2 linked regions of the Caenorhabditis elegans genome follow. The protein of the gene in region 1 purifies or fractionates together with the protein of each later gene. This does not show direct contact. Each region holds a gene or a part of one and is shown on either strand. Other genes may lie near its edges.

The links. Proteins that work in one complex are often made in the same cells at the same time.
Region 2: the proteins of sod-1 (region 1) and Y22D7AL.10 fractionate together in Caenorhabditis elegans (co-fractionation; one large-scale study listed by BioGRID). This does not show direct contact.

What each region holds. Positions count from the first base shown.
Region 1 is NC_003280.10:6,970,657-6,978,138, reverse strand, and holds sod-1 (Superoxide dismutase [Cu-Zn]), read left to right. Parts: upstream 1-4,251; 5' UTR 4,252-4,258; coding exon 4,259-4,306; intron 4,307-4,637; coding exon 4,638-4,721; intron 4,722-4,764; coding exon 4,765-4,923; intron 4,924-4,967; coding exon 4,968-5,121; intron 5,122-5,165; coding exon 5,166-5,263; 3' UTR 5,264-5,433; downstream 5,434-7,482. Other genes in the region: C15F1.8 (Ribosomal protein L29), read left to right, coding at 772-885, 943-1,329; putative very-long-chain enoyl-CoA reductase art-1, read left to right, coding at 5,905-6,022, 6,067-6,297, 6,342-6,481, 6,772-7,081, 7,136-7,263. UniProt on the Caenorhabditis elegans protein: Protects cells against oxidative stress by converting superoxide radicals to hydrogen peroxide. Required for normal brood size. May be involved in regulating mpk-1 phosphorylation downstream of phosphatase ptp-2 during oocyte maturation.
Region 2 is NC_003281.10:1,614,727-1,620,847, reverse strand, and holds Y22D7AL.10 (10 kDa heat shock protein, mitochondrial), read left to right. Parts: upstream 1-1,918; 5' UTR 1,919-1,925; coding exon 1,926-1,952; intron 1,953-2,004; coding exon 2,005-2,118; intron 2,119-2,457; coding exon 2,458-2,577; intron 2,578-3,407; coding exon 3,408-3,473; 3' UTR 3,474-3,697; downstream 3,698-6,121. Other genes in the region: hsp-60 (Chaperonin homolog Hsp-60, mitochondrial), read right to left, coding at 485-793, 943-1,089.

The DNA.
Region 1 (7,482 bases):
TAGGCATTCCTTCAATATTTCCAATCGCGACTCATCGAGTTTCCTATTCCGGAAATGAAAGTCTAGATCAATTTTCGATGGATTGAAGATATGAAGAAAATTATTCAATCAACTCCTCTCATCGAACTTTGCACTGCGACTTTTTTCGAACGAGGGACGAGACAAAAAGGTTTCTAGGCCATGGCCGAGTCTCCGACAAGTTTCAGCGGCAATTCATATTGCATTGTTTTCCGCTTGTTTTCTTCAGTTTTTCCTCAATTTTCACCGTTTTTTTCTCATTAAAACTAACAAATAAATACATTTTACAGATTTTGAAACGATTTTCACGTGAAAGGAAGAATTTTTGGGTCGACTAGTAGCTGCGGAAGGTCACACAGTAAGTATTATCGATTAAACCAAAAAAACCCAAACTTTTTTTCCAAACATAATAAAAAAGCCGTGTCAATGCTAATTGCACCTTATTTTCATATCCAGACTTCTGAAAAAGTTGTCAAAAATTTTTTTTTGGAACTTTTGTGTGAAAAAATCGATAAAAATCGAGAAAATTCGATAAAATCAGATCCCAAATGAAAAAAAAACCCAAACTTTTTTCCAAACATAATAAAAATGCTGTGTCAATGCTAATTGCACCTTATTTTCATAACCAGACTTCTGAAAAAGTTGTCAAAAATTTTTTTTTGGAACTTTTGTATGAAAAAATCGATAAAAATCGAGAAAATTCGTTTTTTTTTCCATTAAAAACAGGAACATAAATCATTTATAAATTTTCAGATGGTCAGCAGGAAAAGGCGGGCAGCACAGATTGAAAGTAGCCGTAAAGGCGTCGCCAGCATTCGAGCTCGTTGTGATATGGAGGCTTCCTGTTCCAGTTCCCAAGAGAACGAGGTAATTTTTTTGTTGGAAATTTCTAAATATTAAAAAAAATTTTTCAAAATTTTTCAGGCTTCGCGTGCATCTACCAGTCAATGCAGTTCCCCGAAAAATTTGAAAATGGAAAATGTTACTATCTTGCCAAAAACATTGAAGCTGATACATGATGATCCGAAGAGTCAAGTAATTGTTTCAATACAATTTGAGATAGAAGATACTAAAAAAAAAATATCAGCTGCCATTCTAAACTTCAATATCTCTAAAAAAGCGAATAATGCGATAAGAAGTGAGAGAAAGCGGATCGTGGCAACGATACTCAAGACTCGGAAACATGTGGAACGATTCAGAAGACTTTGGAAAAAAGAGAAAAAGAAAAAAGAACACTCTGAAATTCTATACAAGAAAAGCCAGCTGAGCAAACAGGAGACTATTGCAAAATTTCCTCCGATGTTTCGCTGATCTTTTGGCAATCTCAAAAATTCGGAATCGAAACGAGTACGCTTCTCTGAGGCCCTGTATGTTCTACAACAGATGACAAAACTGGAAGATATGCTCCATTCATAAATGGCTTCTTGAAATTTGTTCGCGAACGGAAGGAACAGACGTTTTGCAATCAACTTTCTTCATTTCAAACGTTGGTATTGAAGAAAAAATGTGAACTGACGCATTCACAATTGACGAAATTGAAGAATCACTTTCTTGGATATCTGGGATTTGACATTTTGCCAGGCATGAAGCCCGGATTGCAGTTGGCCACCAAGTTTTCCATGGCTTCTGTCTTCAAAGTGAAACTTCATGTCAATTCAGAAAAAACTCCAGTGACGGTCTGCCAATGCCACGATATTGCACGAGTGTTGAAACATCGAATCGAACTTCTTGCGAAATCTCGGATACTTCTTGTCAATGATATTGGTGAGCAGGACAAAATATGGAATCCACTCCTTCTCGTCCTTTGAAGGCACGATTTGTTCTCAAGAAACGTTCCGAATAATACGATAGTTCAACCAGCCTGTACAATTCCTGATTTAATATTTTTAGCTCAGGTAAAATAATATATACGGGGAAGCATTCTGTTGAATTTGTGCCCTCCGGTTCAAAATACCATAGTCGCAGTTATATAAACGATTTTTTGCAGAAATCTGGCGATAGAAACTGGACAAAGACGACGAATTTCCCAAAATCCACCAAAAAGTCCATATTTTATCAATATAATTATCAATCGATTCTTTTTTTTTAATTTTCTCTTATTTTTCACAAATTTTCTCAATAAATTATAATTATGTTTTATTCAAAGCAGTTAAGACTCATTTTCTCGCTAGGTACAGTAAGAAGTGCACAATGTCGTAAAATGCGGTGTATTGTGTGCAAACACCGTTTTTTCGCATTTTTCTCGGCCCTCGTTCGAAAAAAGTCGCAGTGCTTTGGTGCAGTAGCCGTGATATCTTGATGTACTCCATTCTCTTGATTTTTTACAAAACATTTCTCCGCCTGGTATGAGCACAGCCATGCTTGTGATTACATTTAGAAAAACCATATACCAACTGATCGGACATGCCAAAGAAGAAAACAATATTTTTGAAGATGCATAGCTCTCTGATAATATCCTTAGTCTTCTCAGAGACTATTGAAAAATATATTCTGAAAAGATAAACATTTATAGGCACTTTCCAATTGAAAACTCGCTGTTCAATAGATCTCAAATGGCAGAGAACAATTTTTAGGTTTTTCGGTGGGAGACGAAGAAGAGGAAAAGAAGAGTCACCATTCATCACAAGAGAATAAAAGCAGAATGAGACAACAATAATCCAGGACCTATTCAAAGAGCACCTTGAATATCGATTGCCAGTTGACCCCTGAATCATTCTCTTGGGTTTTTAGCCCCCTTCTTTTCTCACCTCCATTGTCTACATCATAAAGACCAAAAGGATATTCTACGTCAATAGGAATTGTCAGAATTATCAGTTTTGATATCAAAAATTGCCAGCTTTAGTACAGTAGAATAACTATGCGATTCATGCTGCTTATTATTTATTCAAAATTTAAATTTTAACCAACTGTGAGTTTATTTTATAGAACATTTTTCGAAATAAAATTCAAAAAAATAAAAATTGTTATTTTTCAAAATCTTAATCTTAATTTAGCACCATTACCGACAGGCAATGATAGAACACCAAACCGGACTGACCAAGTGTCGTACCAGTTTCGAGCAATCAAGTATTGAGAGACTGATATTCTTGCTGATACTATACTCTTAAGATATGAAACGATATCTACCCCTCTAGCCCCCTACTCGTGCGCCCTCAGTTACCTACCTACCCCGTTACCTACCCTACCCTACCTACCTACTCAGTCTCCTACCTACCCCGACCGTATCATATCTTTAGAATATAGTATCAACAAGAATACCAATCACCCAACCCCAATCACTCGAAACCGTTAGGCACCAGGTTAGCCAGTCTGGATTAATCGAGAGTAAACCACTTGACTCCAGACAACTACATCTTATACTTACTTACGTCTGGGGGACAATCTTGGGATTCTCAAGATGACTTCCATTACGAAGTCTCTTGCAATAACCAATTACCACAATTTTGGAGCAGAATTAAACTCACCCACCAGTACAGGATCAAAGATGAATAATGAATGAGAGGCCCTCCTCTCATTGTTGTGGGCGGGGTCAAGGGGTCAAAGTTTTTTGAATTTCGAAATTTTGAAATTTTGGAATTGTTAAATTTTTGGAAATCTAATTTTTGAAAGAACCACATTTTCCGTTTACAATTTGAGTTCAATTCCGCAACCCCGTCAAATTTAAGAAGAGAAAGAAAAAAAACACAACGTGTTTGCACCTGTAAGGTAGTTTTTTTTTGTTGCCTTCGGCGTTTTGATTCACATGAAAGTTTCTACGGAAAAACTTTCATTGCATAACGATCTTCATATCTTGTTTCTGGAAACGAAAATTTCCAACATGAAAGAAACCCGACGCTATTTATTCTCGCAACACAAAAATTTCACATTTAAATAACCGCGGTTTTTCTCGAACAGCATATTTGACGCGCATTGCTCGTCAAGTTTGATGCGTGCACACTATTTTGCTGTTGTTTTTTTCTTTTTTCTCTAAATTTTCTTTACGCTTTCGTAGTTTCTATAGAAACGATTCTCCACTCCCGGTTTTCTTCCGATTCTCAAAATTAATTAAAATTTAGTTATTAAAAATCCTTTTTCTTGAAATAATCGTTCAATTTCGAGTTTTCAAGAGTGGAGACGTTGAATTTGTGAGCCGCTTATTTTTTCTGTGTTTTTGTTTTGTGGTTTTTAATCAGTGTCATAATCATACTTTCCATTGTTTCTTTATTATTCAAAGTTGTAGATTCAGTATTTTAGATCGGTGATGTTTATGAATCTTCTCACTCAGGTCTCCAACGCGATTTTTCCGCAGGTCAGTGCTTATCCGAAACATTCGTCATTCGCAACTTGGGCCTATTTGATCTATGGCGTTGTGTTGTTGCCTTTACCTTAATTATCATCATTTTCATCAGAAACCCACAAAAACTAGAGACATAGCTACAAAATTCTGCGACCGAGAGGCGGGTACACACACAATGTTGTCTATTTCATCTCGCTCCACCTTCTCTCTCTCTCTCTCGTGTTTACCATTTCTTTTTTAATTTTGCATCTATCGACTGTGATCTGCCTGTTTTTTTCTAATTCTAAACTTTTTGCCGTGATATTCCTTAGAGTGTTCCCTAGAAAATTCGTTGAATTTACAGGTCGAAGCCGCTCAAAAAATGTCGAACCGTGCTGTCGCTGTTCTTCGTGGAGAAACTGTTACCGGTACTATCTGGATCACACAGGTTAGCCGAGTTTTCCGCTTAAATCATTTGTATTCTTTTTCAGAAGTCCGAAAATGACCAGGCAGTTATTGAAGGAGAAATCAAGGGACTTACTCCCGGTCTTCATGGATTCCACGTTCACCAATATGGTGATTCCACCAACGGATGCATTTCTGCCGGTCCACACTTCAATCCATTTGGAAAGACTCATGGTGGACCAAAAGTATGGAAATTTTTTATATCGCTTGAATTATAATATTTTTTCAGTCCGAGATCCGTCACGTAGGCGATCTAGGAAATGTGGAAGCTGGAGCCGATGGAGTGGCAAAAATCAAGCTCACCGACACGCTCGTCACGCTTTACGGTCCAAACACTGTCGTTGGCCGATCTATGGTTGTTCATGCCGGACAAGACGACCTCGGTATGAACAATTCGAATTAAAAATCAATTTAGTAAACTTTCCAGGCGAGGGAGTCGGAGACAAGGCAGAAGAGTCCAAGAAGACTGGAAACGCCGGAGCTCGTGCTGCCTGCGGTGTCATTGCTCTCGCTGCTCCCCAGTGACTACCTGAATCGCGTCTCTGAATCTCCACACAATTCCTACTAAAGACAATTTTTCATTTCTTGCTTTGTCGTTATATTCTTAAGAATCCCGTTGTTCCTACTCCTACTACTGTATATTTTCACATAAAATTTCTTCAAAATTTCAAATAAAGGTTGTAGTTTCCAATTTCTATGTTTTACAAATCTCAATGTCTCTGCTCATTATATCAATACTTCACTTTTCAGTTTTGTTACCAAACTGCCATAAATGTTGTGCCAGCCGTTAAACTATCAACAAGTTCTGACGGAGAAGGGCGATTTTTCGAGCAGTTGAATAAGAATCACCTGATAATGAGGCTATTTCAAAAAACGTTTAAATATTATCGCTTTTCCCTTATTTAAGGCAGACAAAAATCTTTGAAAATATAATAATTTCTATTTTTTAATGCATTTAGTAAATTTTATTTCGAGGTCGTTCGTTTCAATTGGCATTTTCACAATGCTTCTCTTCTTTTTTTATCAGTTCAATTGATAGCGACCCGTAAAAGAAAATCACACCATTTTTATAATAGTGGACTGCAAAAAATTCGTTTCTTTCTGAATAGAGCCAGTTTTTGTGAAAATTCCTTTTTTTCAGTTTATATAAAACCTCAATTTTCAGAATGAGTGGGATTCTGGAGGTTTATGACGCAAAGCGTACGGACAATCTCATCATCACCCTCGAGGGAATTTCTGGATCCGAAACGATCAAAGCTATCAAGAAGCGAATTGCCCAGAAAAGTTTGTGAATCGAAATTTATGATTTATTAGCTAAATAATTTCAGAGCTGAAACTCACCGAAGAACGTCAGGCTCTCCGTGTCGAACCAAAGGGTAAACCATTGGCTGATGACCAAAAACTCTCCGATCTTGGACTTTCATCTCAAAAAGCAGTTTTATATGTAAGAGATCTCGGACCACAAATCGCCTGGAAGACTGTCTTCATGGCTGAGTATGCTGGACCTTTGTTCGTTTATCCGCTTTTCTATCTTCGACCAACTTTCATTTATGGACAAGGTGAGCCGGATTAATATTATTTCACACAATATCTTACATTACAGCCGCTGTCAATGCTACCATGCATCCAGCAGTACAAATCGCCTTCTTTGCATGGAGCTTCCACTACGCCAAGAGATTGTTCGAAACTCAATTCATCCATAGATTCGGAAACTCGACTATGCCACAGTTCAATTTAGTCAAGGCATGTTTCAAAAATAAAAATAAAAACAATTGAGTAAAAAGTAATAAGGGACACTAATAGTAAGTTGCAAAAGTTGCGTTGATGAAAAAATTATTTTACGCTCTACGGCAATTTTCAATCTGAAATATAGCAACAAAAAAAAACTAGTAAAAACGTTGAATATGCCTAAAATTCAAAGTTAGAATATTTCGTACAACTTTAGGTAGTTTTAGTAGAGAATTTTGAAACGGACAAGATTAAAAATAAAATTCACTAATCGATAAACAAATTTCTATTTCCTGAATTTTCAGAACTGCTCCTATTACTGGGGATTCGCTGCCTTCGTCGCCTACTTTGTCAATCACCCACTTTTCACACCACCAGCTTTCGGAGATCTTCAGGTTTATTTCGGACTTGCCGGTTTCGTGATTTCGGAGTTTGGAAATCTCTCGATCCACATTCTTCTCCGCAACCTCCGTCCAGCTGGAACCCGCGAACGTCGTATTCCAAAGCCTGATGGAAATCCACTTTCTCTCCTCTTCAACTACGTTTCGTGCCCGAACTACACATATGAGGTCGCATCATGGATCTTCTTCTCCATTATGGTCCAATCTCTTCCAGGTAAATAAAAAACTTGTAAATATAATTGATTTTATTCATAATCTTAAAATTTAGCAATCATCTTCACCACCGCTGGATTCGCTCAAATGGCAATCTGGGCCCAAGGAAAGCACCGCAACTACCTCAAGGAGTTCCCAGATTACCCAAAAAATCGCAAGGCCATCGTTCCATTTGTTCTCTAAATTATCGCATTTGCGCCGAATATTTATTGTATTTTTCATGTACTCTTGCAGTTCTATTATTACCAATCCGCTTATTTCAATCAGTAATTTATTAAATAGACAATTTCTCCAGATAAATGTTTGCTTGAAAAATGTTGCAAGTCTTGGTTGGTGAAAAAAAAGCGTTAATAAAAGAGAAAAAATGTTTAAATAAAAATAACGTGATATTGTTTTTTACAT
Region 2 (6,121 bases), on another chromosome or scaffold:
CATTGAATGAAAAATTGCATCAGAGCTGCCAATTGTTCCAAAAAGCACCACATTTTGGCGAACTTTTTGAATTTTCAAGGTTTTTCGAGACAAATCAGTGAAAATTTGTAATTTTTCGGGAATATTCGGGTTTTTCCGTCAAACAATAAGCTTTTCGTCCTGAGTAGGGGAAAAATGACGGTTTTTCAAGATTTTCAGAGCAAATCAGTGAAATTTTGTCAGTTTTCCGGAATATGAAGGTTTTTCCGTCGAACAAATAAGCTTTATGGCCCGAATTGGGAAAAAATGACGGTTTTTTGAAGATTTTGAATTCCTGGCAACTGATTTTAGCCACAAATTCGCGATTTTCAAGCAGATTTGAGCGAAATTCTAGTTTTTCCTCTAACATCAAATGAAAATCGCTTCAAAATTGGGTCAAAAATCCCAATTTTTCCAAAAATCACTGTGGCTTTTGAATTTAAATCCACAATTTCCCGGTATTAACCTTCTTGGAGATCTTCTTGAGCTCTGCAACGACGACTTCGACGGCGTTCATGACTCCACGACGGATCTCGACAGCGTTTCCGCCTTGACGAATGCTCTCGAATCCCTCTTTGGCGATGGCTCTGGCGAGAACTGTGGCGCAGGTGGTTCCGTCTCCAGCCTCCTCATTAGCCTTGTTGGCGACATCTTGAATGAGCTTGGCTCCCAGGTTCTGGTATTTGTCCTTGAGGTCGATGGATTTCGCGACGGTGACTCCGTCCTTTGTGATCTTTGGGCTTCCCCACGACTGCTCGATGATCACGTTTCTTCCCTGAAAGAGTTTGGAGTTTTAGAGGCTGTATTTATGAAGAAAAAAAAATTAAATTTTGCATTAAACCGGAAGTTTTGTGTATAAAAATACGTTAAAATAGATTTTTTTACAGCATTTTTTCCTCAATTTTCACATCAAAATCCCCGTACTTTTGGGCCCATAGTGACAGAGACGGCGTCGGCGAGCAGGTTGACTCCGACGAGCATGGCCTGTCGTCCTTCGGCTCCGAACTTGACGTCCTTGGCGTAAGATCTGACGACGGCGGTCTGAAGTCCCTTTCTGGCGAGGCGAAGCATCTTTTGTGTCTGAAAAACTACGAAAATTGTGTGAAAATCTGCAGCGGAAAGGCGAAAATGCGAGCAAAATCAGAGTTTCTCATCGAAAATGAAGCGAGAAGCCTTGCATTATCGTCTGAGAAGCAGAAAAGGAGTGAAAAATAACGAGAATGGATGAGAAATCGGCTGGGAAAACGGTAAAACAGATATTTCCCCTAATTTAGACGATAAATGGCCTATAAATAAGCATTTTTCAATCGTTTTTTATGAAAATGAAGCGAGAAGCCTTGCATTATCGTCTGGGAAGCAGGTAATGACTGAAAAATACAGGAATAAATGAGAAAATAGCTGGGAAAACTGTAGAATAGTTTTTTCCCCTAATTTCGACGAAAAATGGCCCAAAAATAAGCATTTTTCAATGGTTTCTGATGAAAATAGAAGCAAAAAACCTCAATTTTTCGTTCAAAATATGAAAAATGAGAGAAAAATAACGAAAATGACGCAAATTTTGATGTAAAATGGCTAATTTACATCAGAATAGACTTTTGCATCATTTCACTCGCTCCGCCCAGTTTTGCAAGGTGCGCACACTTTTCTAGGTGGAGCTGAGCGCGCTGATTGGCTGAATTTGCGGCGCGGTGTCTGCCATTGGCCCGACACGCCTAGATTTGCAAGTTTGCCGCACGAGATTTTTCGCGCCGCACATTTATTTTCTGCTTTTTTTCTCGAAGCTTCTTTTGGTTTTTTGATCATTTTCTGAATTTTCGCGGGTTTCTTCGGGTTTTTTCGTTGTTTTCATGTAATTTCCCGCTAAAAATAAATTTTAAAACTCAAAAAACCAATTTTTCAGCCGAAAAATGTTCCTCACCGCTGTCCGCCGATCGGTAAGCTATTTTCCCGGTGTTTTCTCCGAATTAAACGCGTATTTTTTTGCAGAGCAATGTCCTCAAGACCTTCAAGCCACTCTATGATCGTGTGCTCGTCGAGAGAGTCGCCGCCGAGACCAAGACAAAGGGAGGAATCATGCTCCCGGAGAAGTCACAGGGAAAAGTGAGCAATTTTTGGCCTAAAAATTGATTTTTCAGGTGAAAACTGATAAATTTCAACGTCTTGGAGCAGATTTCTAGCACAAAAATGCCAATTTCACCGTCAAAATGGTGCAACTTGGCGTCTAAAACACAGTTTCTAGCTAAAAACCTTCAATTTTATACGAAAAATGTTAATTTTCACCGAAAATTCCGTAAAGTCTGGTGTAATGATGCAATTATCGATTTTCCCTGCCAACACGCTCTCCGACTGCTCGCGGAGGTTTTTGTCCAATTTTTATCCGAAATTACCGAATTTTCACTCAAATTAAAGCAATTTCCACCTAATTTTCGAATATTTCAGGTCCTTGAAGCCACCGTCGTCTCTGCCGGAGCCGGACTTCGCAACGAGAAGGGAGAGCTCGTCGCATTGACTGTGAAGCCAGGAGATCGTGTCCTTCTCCCAGAATACGGAGGCACCAAGGTACAAAATGCGACGAATTTCGAGCGAAAATATGGATTAATTGGCGAATTTTTAATGTGAAAATCTGAATTTCCGTTGAAATTTCACACAATTTGGACGAAAATCGGGATTTTTTTTAACATTTCAGTGTAAAAGTAGCGTTATATTACTGAAAAGTCATTGAAATCAACGAAAATTGCACAAAAATTGTGTTTTTTCAGCCGAAATCCAAGATTTTTTCAGAAAAATCAGGAAAAATTGTATTAAAATACGATTTTTCCCCCAAAAACTGAATATCACGCGCTTTTCGCTCTAAATTATTGGGGAAATACCTTTAATATAGTACATTTACGCTAAAACCCAACGAAAATTGCACAAAATTTGCCGATTTTCACCGGAAATCTAGCATTTTCTCTGTAAAAATTCATTTTTATGAACGAATTTCGAGAAAAACTGAATTAAAGTACGATTTTTACGCCAAAAAACTGAATTTCATGGGTTTTTCGCTCTAAATTATTAGGAAAAAACCTGAAAATCAGTTTATTTTCGCTGAAAATCCACAAAAAGTGCCGATTTTCACCGGAAATCTAGCATTTTCTTTGAAAAAATCCCAAATTTCCTTCGTTTTTTAAGGAAAAACTAGGTTAAAATATGATTTTTACGCCAAAAAAACTGAATTTCAGGCGGTAAAATGTCAGTTTTTTCCAGTGAAATATAGTTTTAGGCCAAAATTTTGACAAAATACCTGAAAATTAATTAATTTTTTGCTTACAGACCGCGAAAATTGCGCAAAAACATATTTTTTCGACCGATTTTCGCAGGAAATCCCAACAATTTTTCCCCAATTTCAGGTCGTCGTCGAGGACAAGGAATACTCAATCTTCCGCGAGTCTGATCTTCTCGGAGTCTTCCATTAAATTATCTTCCATATGGCTTTCGGTCTCACAAATCTTCATTCAATTATTCCCCTCTCTCTCTCTCTCTGTTTATTTAATTTTTTAATTTCAATTTTTTGAGTTTAGATTTTAGGAAATTCCTCTTTTTTGTTGAAAAAATCGATTGTTATAGTTCCTTTTTTCCTTGATTTTTCGCCGGTATTGTTTTTCTTTTTTTTCGATTTTAAATAATGATTTTTCAGATTTTTCTTGTTCTCTGGCCACAGACAATGTTTTCGATGTGACAGGGCGAACCGAGAAAAGCTCAATGTGGCTTGGAGAACCGGAAAAAACAAACGGCGTACTTAAAAGACACGGCAGTGGTCGAACCTTTTCAAGCTCTGAGCTATTTTTTAACCGTTTTTAAATATTTTTAGCGCTTTTCTGCAATTTTTTGAAAAATTTTGAATTGCCGCCAATTTAATTTGTTCGATGGAGCGCGCTTGCATTATTTTACTGATTTTTTTTCGGTTTTTTGGAAATTGAATTTCCCGTCAAAAAGATCCAAAAATAAACTAAAATGATGCAAGCGCGCTCCATCGAACATCTTGAACTCTTGGCGGTAATTCGAATTGGAACGCAAACTGAGGATTTTCCTTCCAATTTTCAACAAAAAAAAACATTTTTTTTGGGGTACGGTAGCTTCAAAAGAACGCAAACACCGCAGTGCTTACGACAAAATGCAGAATTTCTCAATTTTTTGTAAAAATCACATGCCTATGGGTAAAATGAGGTGCTGAATCTGAATTTGTTAGTTAAAATTCATAAAACTAAAGTTGAAATGTCAAAAAATGAGTTTTTATGACTTTATCGTCAGGAAAATTGTATTAAAATTCATTTTTGCAGATTTTCATGTAAAAATTTGAAATCTTCGTGACATTTCACCCTAGAAAAACCTTTTTGTGAGTTTGCAGTGCAAATATTGAACATTTTGGGGTACGGTAGCTTCAAAAGTACGCAAACACCGCAGTTTTTACGACAAAATGCAGAATTTCTCACTTTTTTGTAAAAACCATGTGCCTAGGGGTAAAATGGGGTGCTGAATCTGAATTTGTTAGTTAAAAGTCTTGAAACTGAAGTTGAAAAGTCAAAAAATGAGTTTTTATGCTTTATCCTCAGGAAAACTGAATTAAAATTCATTTTTGCTGATTTTTATGTCAAAGTTCGAAATCCTCGTTAAATTTCACCCATAAAACCTTTTTTGTGAGTTCTCAGCGCAAGAATTAATGTTGCTGATTTTCATGTAGAAATTCAAATTTATCGATAAATTTCACCTTGGTAACCATTATTTTGAGTTTGCAGTAAAAAATGCGGGAGTTGAGACGCAGATTCACATTTTTCTGGGCGAAAAATTCCCGCATTTTTTGTAGATCAAACCGTAATGGGACAGCTTGGCGCCAACATTCCTAGTTCCAAGGTGGCCAATTATTGGAAATTTTCAGCTATCCCACTGCCATCGGCTTGATTTCTTCTGGAAAGCTTGACCTCTCTGGACTATATCCAAAGCCTATTACAAGCTCAAATTGCCGATTTGCCGGAAATTTTCAATTCCGGCAAATCGCCGGTTTGCCGATTTTAGAGGAAAATTTCAATTCCGGCAATTTGCCCATTTGCATATTTGCCAGAATTTTTCAATTCCGCCAGTTTGCCGATTTTCCGGAAATTTTCAATTCCGGCAAATTGTCGATTTGCCGGAAATTTTCAATTCCGGCAAATCGCCGGTTTGCCGATTTTAGAGGAAATTTTCAATTCCGGCAATTTGCCGATTTGCATATTTGCCAGAATTTTTCAATTCCGCCAGTTTGCCGATTTGCCGGAAATTTTCAATTCCGGCAAATCGCCGGTTTGCCGATTTTAGAGGAAATTTTCAATTCCGGCAATTTGCCGATTTGCATATTTGCCAGAATTTTTCAATTCCGCCAGTTTGCCGATTTTCCGGAAATTTTCAATTCCGGCAAATCGCCGGTTTGCCGATTTTAGAGGAAATTTTCAATTCCGGCAATTTGCCCATTTGCATATTTGCCAGAATTTTTCAATTCCGCCAGTTTGCCGATTTTCCGGAAATTTTCAATTCCGGCAAATCGCCGGTTTGCCGATTTTAGAGGAAATTTTCAATTCCGGCAATTTGCCGATTTGCCGGAAATTTTCAATTCCGGCAATTTGCTGATTTGCCGGAAATTTTCAATTCCGGCAAATTGTCGATTTGCCGGAAATTTTCAAAAATTTTGAAAAATAAGTTTTTTGGAAAAAAATTATTTGAAAAAAATTTTTTTTGAAATTTTTTTTTTCAAAATTTCAAAAAATTTCAAAAAATTTTCAAAACCCCTCATTTTCTTTTTCAAGAATTTTTCAAGGAAAAGGTTGTCTGGAGCAAATAAAATCAAATTATATTTTTAAAAAAAATATTAAAAATCTGAAAGTTAATTTTTTTATTTTTTTTTATTACTGAGAAATTCGATTTCTAATAAAAAAACATCGATTATTTATTGATTTCTGCAAAGATTGAAGTTTATTTCTGAAAAAAATCAATATCAGTTATTATGAATTTGCGAAAACAAATCGATTATTTATTTTTTGAAAAAAATTTTTTTTTAAATATTTTTTTTTATCCTTACTGAAAACTCTGATAA